Linked DNA regions of Tamandua tetradactyla. The protein of the gene in region 1 interacts with the protein of each later gene in a biochemical or structural test. Links are inferred from orthologs where the notes say so. Each region holds a gene or a part of one and is shown on either strand. Other genes may lie near its edges.

Region 1 (7,455 bases):
AAGATCCATTCCAGCTCTGAGACTCTGAGGCTTTGAAGCTCTGTACATCCTTCAAGGTGTTGCTTAAGTCCTAAGACTCAAGCTCATGCTGATGCCTCCTTTCTGTGACAGTCATTACTGCCCGTGGTCCTAGCTCCACCACTCACCATTGTGCAAACTTCTGAAGCCTCAGTTTCTTCATTTGTAAAATGTGGCCAATAATATACTCACATAGTTTTTAAAATGTGGGCTAAAGGAGAGAAGTCGTGAAAGGCACACTGCTATAAACCCCTCAGTGTGCAACACATGTAATCACCGATTATTAGATGACTTTTGCAATAACTGGGGAGTATTGTGAGCACAGCTTGGGCTCAGTAGCTGTTTTTGAAGATGCCAGGACAGAGGGAGACATGCCATGGAGTAAGGATCACAGGGCCTGGGTTCCAGTTCCAGATCTACCACTAATAAGCTAGATGACTTTAGGCAAGTTAATGTATTTTACTTATTAGCAGTATTATTTGAATCATCATTTTCTCCTTCTTCTCTCTCTCCTTCCTCTTTTTACTTTACCCTCTTCCTTCTCCTCTCTGATCCTTAGTTGCCATGTCTGCAAAATGGAATTGTTAATCTCTTCCCACTCAACCTCATGGGGTTGTTGTGACAATGAAATAACAACAATAGCTCTCTTCATTGAATATCATGTACTTCCAGGCACTTTATATAGGCTATTGTTGTTCCTCCAAACAGTCCTATGAGGTAGGCATTATTATCCAGACTTTTATAGATGAGGAAATTGAGACAGAGCAGTTGCTCAAGGTCATGCAGCTAAAGAAGTGCTAAATCTGGGATTGAATCCTGGTCTTGTAGATTCCAAGGCTTGGGCATGACTCACTGCCCCACTCTTTAAAGCAGTCAAGCACTCCACAGGTGAAGGGCTTGGTTCATTATAGTCACGTGACCAAACTGAACTAAAGTGACCAGCACAGTCTCTTCCTCCTACAGGTCCAAATGGAAGGAGAAGACAAAGCGGCTGAGTGGCTGAGTTGGGTGCTACAGCCTGCTGGGCAGTGTCCCCACTCCATGGCCCTGCTCCTGACAGATGCTGTCACTGCTTCTGAAACTGTGGCATGACCTGCAAGGGCAAGGCGTCTTCCTGGGTGACCCTAGCGCAGCCCTGATGAAGCTGAGAAGTTTTCAGGTTGATGTAGCTCTCCCGGGCTTCTGTTCCTCCCTTTTTGGGGAGGAGAGGTTTGAGGCCTCTGCTAGGATTGCAAGGATGTGGAATGTGCCATATGTTTGGCGGGTTGCCAAACTCAGCTCCTGAGCTCTTTTTGGAGAATGTCTTTTCTATTCTTTGAACTCTATCAGTCCAGCAACGGGTGAAAATGCTGGTCACTGTCCTACATCTGTGTTACAAATCTCCTTGGTTTTTCTTGGGCCTCTTCTGACCACATCCTGTGACATTAGATGTAGTTGCCCAATAACAGAACTGTTTGATTCTTGTTATTTAGTCCTGAGAGCTGCGAACCAGATGGGTCAGTGGCTTTGGGTAATAGGAAGAGGTGGCCCCCACTTTGAGGAAATCTGGGTCTAACTTCTGCATCCATAGGTGGAGTATTGTTCCCAACTCCCACTCGTGAACCTATGTCGCTCGTCTGAGCAACATCCAAGTTCATATCTATTCTGTAATCTGTGATATGATCTCACAGAGAAATATATTTAGGGTAGTTTGCACTTTGAAGTGTCTGTGTGGTGACTTGGGTGGGGCTCAAACTTGTTTCCCACCATAGATGAGAAACTGCTGCATCTATCTTAATCTCTAAATTCTGTGCCAGTGATGGGGTGGGGACAGACGAAGAAGAAAGGGGCAAGGGGTGGGAGAGGTGAGGAGCCTTTGATAGCCAATCCTCAGGCTTCCTTCCCAACACAACTTCTGAGCTTCCTTCTTTCATCTATATAGTCCTTTTGAGTTATAGATTAGGTTCAGTCATTGTCAAATTCCAAGGTTCTGGGATCTAGTTTATTTACTGAGCCATGTTGCCCATTGAAGGATAGAAGGTGTTTAAGTCTTTAAGGCGTGCACTGTGTCTTTTTAGTTGACTCTTTCTAGCTTCCTTGGGCATAAGAGCAAGCTTCTACTACCTTCATTTTTGTAGGTCCTTGCATTAACCCAGCTGTCTAGATTATTCTAACTCCTTTATCTATGTCCTCCCAGGAGTGGGCCAAGCCTTGGGAAGGAAATCTTGGACACTTCAGACTCCAGTCATTGACTAAAGGGAGCCCAAGAAACTTCAAGAGGCTTCTGTATGAGTTCCCTGTTCCAGATTTATAGAGATGTGGGAAATGTGCATGAGAAATGGGTCCACAGGAGTCTCTGAATTTATGTCTTGGATCTGTATGTAAAGTTGCTGAATTGCACTTAAAGGCTCTGTACAGAGATCCTGCAAGGGAAGATATAAACTTCATCAGGGCACAGACCATGGTAGCTTACCTTATCACTATATCTCAGGGAGAATGGAAATGACTTTTCTAGAGAATTCATTCATTCACTAAGCACTCAAACACTTATTGACCAACTATTAAGTACCTGGCACTGGACTAGGCCCTGGAAACACTAAGCTGAAGAGAGCACAGACTTTGTGTTAGAGCTTAGAGTCAGGCAGGGCAGTGTACAGAAAAAATACTAGTTCTTATGTGGCAGAGTACGTTTAGGACCACAAAGCAGATGCCACAAATGGTATGGCTTCTTCCAGTTCTGTTTCTGGAAGATGGCGGGGAGAATGGAGCCAATGTTAGGGTCCAGATCAGTGAAGTGGATTCCTAATTCATGTTGTTCATTAGTGGCTTCCAACAGCTAGATGTTTCCCTGGTCTGTCATGTGAAGAAGTTTGTGCTCCCTTGTTGCATCATGTTTTGTGTACTATTTCTCAAGGTCAAGGGCATGGCCAAGTCAACTCTGAGGGTCCCCTGGGTGACAAAAGAGAGAGATTAACCATTGGACCAGCTGGAGAAATTGTGCAAGGGCTGTGTTAGTAATAATATTAAAAAAAATCTTAGCTGTGTCCAGAATTTTTTACATGCATATTCTCCAACAGTTTTAAAAATATGTAACATATATACAACCTAAAATGTCCCTTTTTAACCATTTCCAATTCAGGGGTGGTAATTTCATTCACAATGTTGTACTATCACCACCATCCATTATCAAAACTTTCCCATCATCCAGAACAATATATCTCTACCTATTAAGCATTAATTCCCCATTCCCCACTCCTACTCCAGCCTGTATTCTGGTAACCTGTGCTCTAATTTATGATTCTATGAATTTGCATGTTTTAATTATTTTATGTAAGTGAGCGCATACAATAGTTGTCCTTTTGCGTCTGGTTTATTTCACTCAACTGATGTCTTCAAGGTTTCATCCATGTTGTTGCATGTACCAGACATAGTTTTAAATGTGACACTGAGAGCTACCTCCTGAGGAGGAGGGAACAGGTCTTATCGACCCCATAGGCTTAGAAAGTGACTTGGTCAGGATCGCACAGGTCATAAGTTGTTGAACTGGTACTTGAGTCCAAGTGTTTTAACTCTAGATCTGGTGCTCTGTCCAGAGCCCCTCTGCTGCCTCTGTGGTAGCTGAGCCTCTCTGTCCACTGCCCTCCTATCCAGCTTCAGACAGGTGACTGGAAATGGACCAGAGAATGGAAAGAGAGAAAGGCAGACCTGAAGGGAAATGAAAGTATTTGCTGCCAAGTGGGAAGTAGAACAAAGTAGGAGGCCTGAACCCCTGGCCTCAAAGCAAAAGGGCTCTGAGGGAGGTGGGATGGGTGCAGAGCCTTTACCTGCCTGTGGGGGCGGGAGGAGGAAGAGAAATAGCCTGGTCCTTGTGGAGGGGGGATGGGTACTGCAGTGAAAAATGGGTCCACGTCCTATCTATGTGAGAGAAGGCAAGAAAAGGAAGAGGGAATGACTGTGAGAAAGTAGGAAAAGAAGAAGGGAGAGTATATAGAAATATAGACGGGAAACTTGGAGCAAAAACAAATTCTTATGAAAAATCTTTGCATGTACGGTATTTACAGTTTGATATCAACTTACATGGACTCCTCAGGCCTCTTATTTCTTCTCGTGTCCCCCCCATCATTAGATCTCTTTCTATGTCTCCCCAGCTATTGCTTCTCTCCCTCAACATATTTACCTGCTTGTCCAGGGCTCTGCTTCTCAGCTCACCACCCACCCCCTCCGATCCCTCTCTCCTCCACCTCTGCAGTGTCTGCTGAAATGGGGCAGTCTGGGATAACGGCCATTTGGTCCCAATGCAGGTCTCCATATTGCCAATAGGATGGAGCAAATTATGAGCAAGGCATCAGGGCTGGGGCAGAGCAAGGGGCAAGATTTTGAAGCTGGTTTTGTGAGTCACAGTGAACTCCGAGCACCCGCCCACTTGAGGCAAACTACACAGTGCAGCTTGTGGGAACTGTGAGAGCAGGTCCAGCTAGTGGGGCTTTCTCAGTGGCCTTGTCAGCTCACAGCAGACGAGAACAGCTTTGAGTTGAGGAAACTGTGGCTGGACAGTCACGAGGCACTTCTGTTGCCTGTTGCATCCTTGCTGATTAGCCTTGCACTGCAGAGGCAGAGAGGACCCAGCCCGACCCCTCTGTCCTGTGGGGATGTTGGGGCAAGTTTTCACCCTCTTCCTTTTCTTCACTGGACATTGGGGTCAAGGTAAGTAGGCCCAACCTGGCATGTGGTGGGGGCTGGCAGGGGCTAGGGGCTGTGCCCTCAGGGAGATCAGAAAACCAGAGCCTCTGATTGCACAGTCATCCTGGCAGCTCTGGACAGTCCGATTCAGACAGGACAAGCTGGCAGCGGGTTGGGAGATCCTTGAGAGGGGCACCTGGATGGCCATCAGCCTTCCAGGCAGCCTCAGCAAGGAGATTCCATTCTACCATCTTCTGTTGACCTCCTTGTGGCCGGTGAGGACAAAAAAGATCTCACTCTCTGATTGTGTTATGATTAGCAGTGTGGAGGAGAAGTGGCCCCTGGGCTTGGGTTTCTGTGAGGAAGTTGGGTGATTCTGGAGCTCAGAGGACAGACTGATCCCTGGTACAGGAAGGCTGAGCATTAAGAGGGGAGAGTGGGAAGAATGGCCAGGATTGGCCAGAGACCAGAATGACCTGGTGTCTCATCGGCTCAGCTCCTCCAGCTGCCCAGGGGCCAGAGGAGTCTGAGGATTGTTAGGGAAATGTTGGCTTGGAAGAAGGGGAGAAGGGAACAATGTAAGGATGCTCCACAGCAAATCTGAAGCTGTAGGCTGGGCATTGAGCCATCTAATATTTACTTGGGAGGATCCCAGCTGAGGGCTGCTCCCCCACTTTTTCCCAACCTGGAGTTTAGGGTGTTCTGGGTCTTGGATCATGCATTTTAGGTTAGTGGGTTTTTGGGGGGACATTGTGGGAAGGGGCGGGGTGAGAGGAGGTACAAAAGGAGGAAGCTGAAGCATAAGTTTGGGTTTGTTCAGGGCCTGTTAGAAGCCTGATATTGATTAACAATTGCATCCTAGGCTACTCAGTTTAATTCCAGGGCCCATGAGCACACTTATGCCCTCCAGGAAGAGACAGTGTAGGCAAACATCGAGCCTGGCATTGTAAGGACTGTAGGCAAAGTGATGATAATGAGGGAGCAGGGAGGAAGCACTGGAGCCTGGGGCTCATGTGGGCAAGCTGGCAGGACCCAGGTCCAGGAGTCCAGGCTGCAGAGCTGGGTTGGGACCTGGTCTAAGTGGCCTGGAAAGCATCTCAGAGAGTCGAAGCAGGATTGGCGGGATTTGGTGCTGGTTTTGCGGGTGAGGCTGATGGAAGCGTTGAAGGGAACTCAGGTCCAGGCCTGTGTGACAGGGGGAGATGCTCCCTCCGTCCCCACAGCCAGGGCCTCGGCACCATCTCTGGACATGACTCTGCAAGGCTGGTTGCAGCCGGGGCTGGCAAGGGATTCCTCAGGGACAGGATGGATGGACTGTGCGTCTTCTGAACTTCTCCCATCTCTTGGCACACCCAGTGTCTGTGGGGCTGGCCTGATAGCAGCTATTTATTTGTTCATTTTAATTTTTAAAACCTTTTGGTTTGAAGTAATTTCGAATGGCAAGAATGATACAAAGAATTCTTGTATTTAGCACATTTGCTTTGTCTTTCTCTCCACATGTATATATGTATATGTACAAACGATTATAATAATTACTTCTGCTGAACCATTTGAGAGTAAATTGTAGACATATTGACTCTTTACTCCTAAATATTTCAGCATGTCTCTCCTACAAATAAGTACATTGTCTTATATAACTACAGTACAGTGATCAAATTTCAGAGGTTTAACATTGATACAGATATACAATCCAAATTCAAACATTACCAGTTACCCCAATAATGTGCTTTATGGCAACTGTTTTCCTGATTAAAGATCCAAACAGGATCATGTATTACATTCCGTTGGTCATGTGTCTTTTGCCATCTTTGACCTGCAGCAGTTCCTCAACTTTTCTTTGTCTTTTTTATTTTTATTTTTATTTGAAGAGTACAAGCCAAGCTGTATTGTGAAGGGTCCCTCAATCTGGGTTTGTCTGATGTTTGCTCATGATGATTTGACTTATGTGTTTATGGCAACCATACCATAAAATGATCGGTGTCTTTCACTGTACATCCCATCGGGAGATGTGTGGTAACCATGAAACTTAAAAAAAATTGTTTATTCAAGAATGCAATATGTGCAATGCAATATGCAATATGCATAAAATATATGTGTAAGATACTCACGCAACTCTTTAGCTTTGCAAAAGCCTTCCAAAGCCTTCTCGTTTCATGCAGAGGCAGAATCACATGCTTTACAGGTGCCTGTGTGATCTGGCCTCCAGTGACCCCCCCTGCACCCCCAGCACCTCTTCTTTCGCCCTTGCCTCTTGCTTACTGCGTTTCAGCCACCCTGGCCTGCTGCTCCCCCAGCAGTCTCCTCCTTCCCACTTTACATTCCCAGCTTCCTCTACCCTGAAGTGGGTGGTGGTGGTGGTGCCCTTAGTAGTCACGTGACTTGTTCCCTTTCTCCCTCAGGGTTTTTTTGCTCAGATACCACCTTCTCAGCGGTGCCTTCCCCAGAAAAATGTCAATGCCCAAACTGATTTTTTTGCATGGGCAAGCACCGGGAATCGAAGGCGAGTCTCCGGCGTGGCAGGCAAGAACTCTGCCTGCTGAGCCACCATGGCCCACACAGTGTCCAAACTCTTTATATCCTTCTCTGCTGAATTTTTCTCCATGGTGTTTATGTCCACCTTACACACTTCATAGTCTGTGCATTTATTTTATTTTCTGTCTTCTAGTCCCCTCTTTACCTCACCAAAATATAAGATCCTAAGGGCAAACCGTTTTCTGTTTTGTTCACGGCTGTACCCTCAGAATCTAAGACAGTGCCAGGCACAAGTAGATGCTCCAT
Region 2 (7,619 bases), on another chromosome or scaffold:
AAAGAAAAGTAGACTGATAAACCATTTCAAGTGAACCTGCAATGAATGCATGTTTGTTTAGCTCTATCTTGCTGATCATGTGTTTATGGCATATGTATATAGCACCATTTACATAAGTATTTCTATTTTACATCTACTTTATTTCCACTCTTTAGTTTATATGATAAACCTAAATATTTTGTTTTAAAATAAGTACATGGTGCATTTCAAAATAAAATCTGATTTTGTTGTTATTACAGTATAGTGGCAAAAGGGAGCATGAAATATTTTTGTTTATCAGAAGGCACCCTGGACTCAAAAAGGTTAATAAACTGATAAAAGACAATGTTATCAAAAAAAAAAAAAAGGCAATGTATCTTCCCTCTGCAGCACAGTCTAGCTATCACTCTAACAGCCCAAGGACCCCCAATTTGCCTAACTCTATTTTGTACTACTTCATAAGGAGGTTTTCATGGAGAACTAAGAGTTATAAAAACTGTATTTATACAAGATTCACTTTGAGTGAAAACTAAATGTTTGAGAATTTCTTATCTGCCTAAATTAATTCCTGACATGGTCTCGGCAAAAGGCTAAAGTTGTCCTTTTCTCTTGCATATTTTACTTTATACCAATTTTATACTGAAAGTAGGGCATGCATCACAATTCCTGTTTTACAAATATGGAAACAAAGGCCCAGAAAATTAAGTGACTTCCCCAGGGCCTGCATCTTTGCCTTTGCGGTAAAGAACAGAATTTGTCTCCACAGGCCCAAGAGGTTTCAGACAGTGTTCCTAGTGCTGGAGACACAGCGGTAAACACACTGTCCCTGCTGCCATGGAGATTATGTTTTAGCAGGAAAGCCCAACGATAAATAAGTAAACAAGCGAATGTCAGGTAGTTTTAAGCTCCTTGAAGAGACATAAAGGGATAGCGACAAACCAGGAGAGAACACTTATTTTAGATAGAGTGATCAAGAAAGTTCCCTCTGAAGAAAGACAGAGCTGAAGAAATATGTGAATTGAATATATTTTTGACAAAAGGAACAAGTGCAAAGACCCTAATGAAAGAGCGTGCCTGACATACTTGAGAAACAGCAAGGAAGTGTGGCTGAAGCCTTAGGTGAGTCTTGCCACATACCATCCCCTGCTCTCCCTCTCCTGCTAAGGCTTCTTTTGTACCCTCTTTTTGTACCTCTAGATTAAGGAACCCGTCACATCTTTTGTTAACTTTTAAAGCAGCCCCTTTCACTTGCCCACTCACTCTTCCACCTTCTTTTAATAAGAGTCTGAAAACATCAGTTGGCTTTCAACGACCTTCCTTAACTCCTAACCAGGAAAGACAATATTATAAGCAAAACATAAAAATTCATGCCCAAGAGATTCAATAGCTTCCACATATTTTCCTTGAATCTTTTATAATAAATCCACTTAGTATGGCCAGAGAATAGGTATATTCTGGTTAATTGAGAGCCGCCACAAACATAGATTTCCCATTTCTTAAAAATATATGCAATTAAAAGTCCCTAACACCAACTTTGATGTAACATTTCTTCACTAACCCAGAACATACCTCAAAATCTTGCAGTGTGTCATTAGATACTGAATTTACTACAAAGCATTTTCCCTCATTTTGTTTCTGTCAGGAGACTGCTTGAGGGACTGACTGGTATTTTCATCATTGTTTTTATTTTGCTGCCAAAAAGTGCTAGGCCCTTGCCTAGAAATACACCCATGCGTATGTACTAAAAGAAATCAGACTGAACAAAGGATGCCTCACATTGAATATTTACTGTGGGTCAGATCCCAGTGCCAAGTATTTTTGCATGCAGTATGGCATTTAATCCATGCTGAGGTACTTAGTAGTATTACACCCATTTTATGGTTGAGAGAACTGAGAGATTAACTTGCCTGAGGTCACAAACCTAGCATCTGCCTAGCACAAGATTAGGTCTCAGATATATCTGTCTCTGGAGCCCTGGAGCAAAGATGAAGATACATCTGATTCAAAATGGGAATTCAGACTGAAACATGCCTAGGTAAAAGGCAAGGCTGAATCATAACAAGAGTGTTTTCCTTCTCTGCTCTTTACAACTGTGGTCACACCTAGCTTTTTTTTAAGGGTCCTATTTCTGAAATCCCCTGCCCTACACACAAATCTTCTAAAAGGAAGCAAATTAAGCAGATCCAGAGAGCAGTTTGACTCACAAACATCTGCTATCCCGACCTGATGAGTTGCAGTCTTCACGTAATGGATTCAGTTTCTTATCTTCCTCCTCTCCTTGAATCTGATGGTCTGTCTGAGATAAGGCCTCCAAATCCCTTTAAAAGTAGCCTCAGAAAGACCTTTCCTTCTCTCAGGAGCTGTGACCCCAAATCTAACCCAGGCACCATCCCAGGGCTCCACCTTGCTCATCTCTATGAGATACATGGTCTTTCTTAAAGTGAAGGTAAATTCCCGGTCACATTTTCCCACCCAAAAGGGCATTTTCTGTAGCCATCCCCCCAAATCCCTGGTGAGGCCTTTCTGGAGCAGGCGAATGAAATCCTGAGTTGTCTAGGCTGAAGTATGGTGTGCCATGGACCAGGGCTGGACCTGAGGAGGCCTTCAGGCCACAAACTCCCACAACCTGTGTTCTTGCCTGAGCCCGACCACCACAGCCCACCCACCACCTTTGCCCTCCGTAGGTCCCCACGGCTGCATACTCACAGCACACACAGGCAGTAGACTCCCGGGACGCTCTCACTGTCCCTTAGCAGATAGCTGCCGTCCAGACCTGTAGCAAGCAGGAGCTTCTCCCCGGTTTCCCGGCTAATTTTGCCGTGATACACGGTCACTGCATCCATGACCTGGTGGATTCGTGTGGGTCAAAACGTCTGATAAAAGAGATGCCACTGCAGCTATAGTCAGGCCGAGTCAGCCACCTGTCTCCCAGTTCAGCCAGATGTGCAAGAAACAGAGAAATGCACCCGAACAACAGGATGTTGTCAGTGTGCGTGAAAACCTTCTCACACTTCAACTAAAACCAACTCAGCAATTTAGCAGCTTGGTTATCGCCTCGGAGCTCGCTCCCTCTCCCCGTCCTCCAACTAAAAGGTTCATATGGAGAAGGGAAGAATGTTGGAAGATGATGGCCCTTTCAAGAAGATTTCAGCTGCACTGCTAACACAGATCCTTGCACACACACAGTGATGCTTGGCAATGTTGCTCATGCAGTTTTCCCAGGGGCCGGCAGGGATGATGCAACTTTAACTAGCTCCCCCAAAGGGATGGATGATAGAGGCAAGTTGTACAGGCCCTCATGTGGAGTGGAAACATACTGACAGAGATTGAACGAAAGGACCAAAAACAGTGACACCAAGCTATCAGTATTATACACGCAAGCTATCAGTATTATCAGTGCATACTGAATGTGGCCGTGAGGCTCCTAGGAATCAGACATGGTGGGTGAGCATTGGACTTTAAGGAAGCATTTTCCCCTCTTCACCCTCCTACTGCTACTGACCCTCTCCTATGCTTTTCCTCCAACTCCTCCCTTGTGTAGCTATCTTGAACAACCTTGAACCTGAGCAAATACCGATTTTTCCTATCTTGTCTAAAATCCAAAAATGCAGTTGGAGTACAAAAATCACAGCCTATGTCCCAGATTTATCCACTTGATGGGCTGTAGATGAGAGAATGAATTATCTAATTGTTGCATTGCCTTTATGTGGACATACATGTACTCTCTGGTGTATAAGAACCACTTTTCAGCATTTGGGGCATAAAGCCTGTTTTAAATCATTTCGAAGTGTTGAGGATTTTGCGGTAACTCTTATTCTCTGTTTTTTTTTCTAGAGAATATTTTTTTCTTAAAATGATGCTAAACTATCATTAATTTTTAAAAATATTTCAACTTTCTTTTCCTTATCTGAAATAAACATCGCTTCTATTTCAAAATATGCTGTTAAATAATATTTCCCAAAAGCTTTCTCCATTTTTAACAGAATAAGACTTTGCTAATGCCTAAAACTGAACAGACTTATACATTTACCTTTAGATTATGTAAAGTATTTTTTAAACTGAAATTTAAATAACTGAAGTTTTGTTGTCTGCTGTATCCCTTCCACAACTTCAGTGCCAATTCTTTGAAAACATGACAAGGCTCAGAGTTCAATAGGGAGAACAGTTTTCAAATCCTCACTTGTCCTACTAATGAATCAAATGCACAGACCTGCTTTATGCTAAAGCCAAATATTTGCTCTCTACCCATTACAATTAAGAACAATCTTCTAAGATTTAAGGTGGTAGCTGGTAGCAACTCAACTTCTTGATTGAAGAGTGCCCAGTCTGAATGATAATTCATATAGAATCTAGCAATCATAGTACTTAAAGTGTGAACAGAGCCTCCTGCAGTCATTTTCAACACCAAAAATAAATATATAGCATCCAAGGTTACATTTGGGGATGACTCCAGGGAATTGGATAATATGTCTCATCACCTTCCTACCTCACTTTTCTTCTTTTTTGCCAACTCTGCCTCACTCCTTCTTATATTTTGGATCAAGAAAGCAATTAATCTGATAAGTGAATGGATATTCCAATGTTAAGGACTTAAAAAGTTAGTCCTCCTTGGAGTCTTTGTATTTTGAGTGGGCAAATGATTAGCCCAGAGGAATCAATCGCATTAGTGGTATTTCAATCATGAAAGGAAAAGATAGGGAAAGGTACCCCTTCATATCAGTCCATATGGGCAACAGCCTACCTGTGAGGTGATCTGTGAGAACATTTGGTGTTACATAGGTAAAAAAACAAAACCTAACTTTTTATTCTCAGTACAACTCTAAACAAATCATCCACAAACTTAGGAACAGAGCAACCTGAATCCGACAGCAGAAGTATACCATGCATTCTTCTTTCCTTTGCTTGTTTTGTGTTGCTAAAATAGCACACCTATCAAAGCAGCGAGGTATGATGGCATTCAGCACAACTAAAGTTGTAAAAAACAGAACAGATAAATTATAAGGTAATAGTACAACGCTCACATCCAGTACCTCATTGTCATCTCAAAAGCAAACTGACAGCTGAGCCACCCCACTACTGCAGTGTTGATGGAAAATACTAACATCTTCACTCTAATGCTACACCAGTACTAAACCTGGCTTTAGCAAATTCAGATCTCTACACTGAGCTTGCATTGTAGAGAAAGGAAGAACTGAAATGACTTTCTTCCTCCCTCCAACGGAGATAACAAAAGAGAAAGAATTAGGAAGAATGAGCGCCCCCCCCCAAAAAAAAGAATATAAACCACTATAGGAGCAGAATGCAGTCCATGATTGCAGGACATTTTGTTCTTTGTTCATCACTACATCCCCAGTGGCCGGTACATTATAGATAATATTTATTGAATGAATGAAAAAATGATTAACATTCTCAAGAAAATACAGAAAAAATACTGAAATTCACTTTTGCACACACACATTAAAATTTGGTTCTACATGCTTCAGGGCCCACCCATGAAGGAGAAAAATGAATTGGAAAAACCATTAATTCAGTAACTATGATAGTCCAACTATACACCATGTTTTGTCACTAAATCACTTCCTCTCTCCAAGCCTCATTTTTCCCCACCTGTAAAATGCAGTTGAACCAGATGGCCCTTAAGGTCACTTTCAGCTTTAACATTTTATGCTTTAAATGAAAGTTTAGCATGCATTAGAGAGAAACAAAGGGGAAATGCACTGAGTTAATATTTGTGTGCAAGAAGCAAGAGCTATTTCCTTGTCTTACACAATAGGGTATAGATTTTTGTTCTTGTTTTAAAATAACCGAAGAAATTAGTCATGGTGTGGAGAAAGAGACCTGCACAATTTAAAGCAAACTACAACCTTTTAGAATACAGATATTGCATAAATCAAATATAATATAAAAGCATTGAATTCAGAATTGTCAACCAAGAATAAAAGTCTTCTTATCCAAACTTGTCATCTCCTGAGATCTCTGAGAAGTGACAGAATTTTGCACATGGATGCCTGGTCTGAGGTGCTAATTGTCTTCATTTCAAATGCCCTAGGCTATTCTCAAGCCCAGGTAGATTAAAGGGATGATGCCAAGGGTGGTCAATTTTATAGAGTGGTTCTGACATTTCAAAATCTTTTTCTCTAACCTTTCAAACCTAACTTTGTTCTTCAACTAACTCATTTCTAGGTGTGAATTCTACTGTGACAGTGTTATGATATTGTCACCTGTGGTGAGTTTATACATTCTTTCAGAATTTACTAAAAGTCACTTCCTTCACAAAAATGAGAGAAAATTTTAAAATGTCTTTAAAAAAAAGATCACTTCCTTTCAATAATGTCTGGCTTTACCTATGAGGCCATTTTTTAATGCTATTTTGTAAGTGAGAAACCAGAGATAGAGTTGTTGGTCTATGTTTATTTAAGCCTGCTTTAAATGTGTTTATTCTTTCAACCAACATTTTTGAGCATCAACTAAAAATATATACCTAGTAGAGAGAAGAAAAGAAAACACAGTGTCTGCTCTCAAGGAACTCAGTCTACTGAGGAAAACAGACCAGCAAACAGACAATTACAATTCCTTTAAGGGCTGTGATAGAGGAAAGGATGGTGCTCTGCCGCATAGTAGTGGGACAACTAATGACCTATATTCTAAACCTGCGCATCCTATTAGAAGCAGCAAGTTTTATATATTTCTGTCTACTATATACAATTCCTTTTACTTGTCCTAATTTTACCTCCTTCATGAACTCAAAGTGGGCTCCCTAATTCTAGCTGAAATTCTGCCTAATTTTGAGGTTTTATTCTTGGAGTAAAAGCAATAGTTAATATTTGTTAATTGCTTACAACATTCCAGGCATCCTGCTAAACACTTTGTATATATTATCTCCTGTATTTATATCTACAGTCCTATGAAGCAGATACCATTATTATCCCATGTTACCAACAAAGAAGCCAAAACTCAGAGAGGCTAAGTAACCTACTCAAGGTTGAACTACTTGTCTGTGTCAGACCCAGGATTTGAATACAGGCCAGCTGGCTACAGATCCTGTGCATTTCACCACCATCGTCTTCTGCCTTCCACCACTAATTCTGCTATCACTGCCCTGGATGGCTCAGACTTCAGTCTCCTATCTAAGAAGGATAATTCTGGCTTCTGCAATATTCTTACATTCAAGTATCAACTCTTCCCCTGCCCTGACTTACAGGAGACCTATGTCTACATGCCTTATGAGATCAGCTATACGGCTTTTGCTTGGGTCTTTTTACCTCTTTTGGAAGGATATTACAGAGTGAAAGTCTGTTCTCTCAGGCTTACCATCTGGAATCTGAATCATCAGCTTATCCTTGCTAAGTCACAGAACACTGATTGGTTTGTTTTTAAAAGATTTGGGCATTCTCTATCCTAGACTAATTTGGTTATGCAGTTTATAAGTCAAGAGTCTCCAAAGAAACACAATCGAAAGGATATATCTATGAAACTATTATTAGATTTACTATAGGAATTGGCTCAGGTGGTCATGGGGATTGGCAAGCCCAAGTTCCAAAGGGCAAGCTGCAATTTGGAAACTCTAATGTAAGTTTTGATGAATTTCCCAGGAGAAGCTGGCTGGCTGAAGTAGAGAGAGAATTCTTCTTTCTGACTGT

What was found. The genes of interacting proteins can lie anywhere in the genome.
Region 2: the proteins of CD244 (region 1) and SH2D1A interact in a biophysical measurement, tested with the Homo sapiens proteins (2 studies listed by IntAct). The link is inferred for Tamandua tetradactyla from reciprocal best matches to the Homo sapiens genes CD244 and SH2D1A.

Annotation. Positions count from the first base shown.
Region 1 is NC_135330.1:14,062,992-14,070,446, reverse strand, and holds the start of CD244 (natural killer cell receptor 2B4), read left to right. Parts: upstream 1-4,448; 5' UTR 4,449-4,646; coding exon 4,647-4,701; intron 4,702-7,455. UniProt on the Homo sapiens protein: Heterophilic receptor of the signaling lymphocytic activation molecule (SLAM) family; its ligand is CD48.
Region 2 is NC_135353.1:40,834,901-40,842,519, forward strand, and holds the start of SH2D1A (SH2 domain-containing protein 1A), read right to left. Parts: upstream 3,008-7,619; 5' UTR 2,823-3,007; coding exon 2,686-2,822; intron 1-2,685.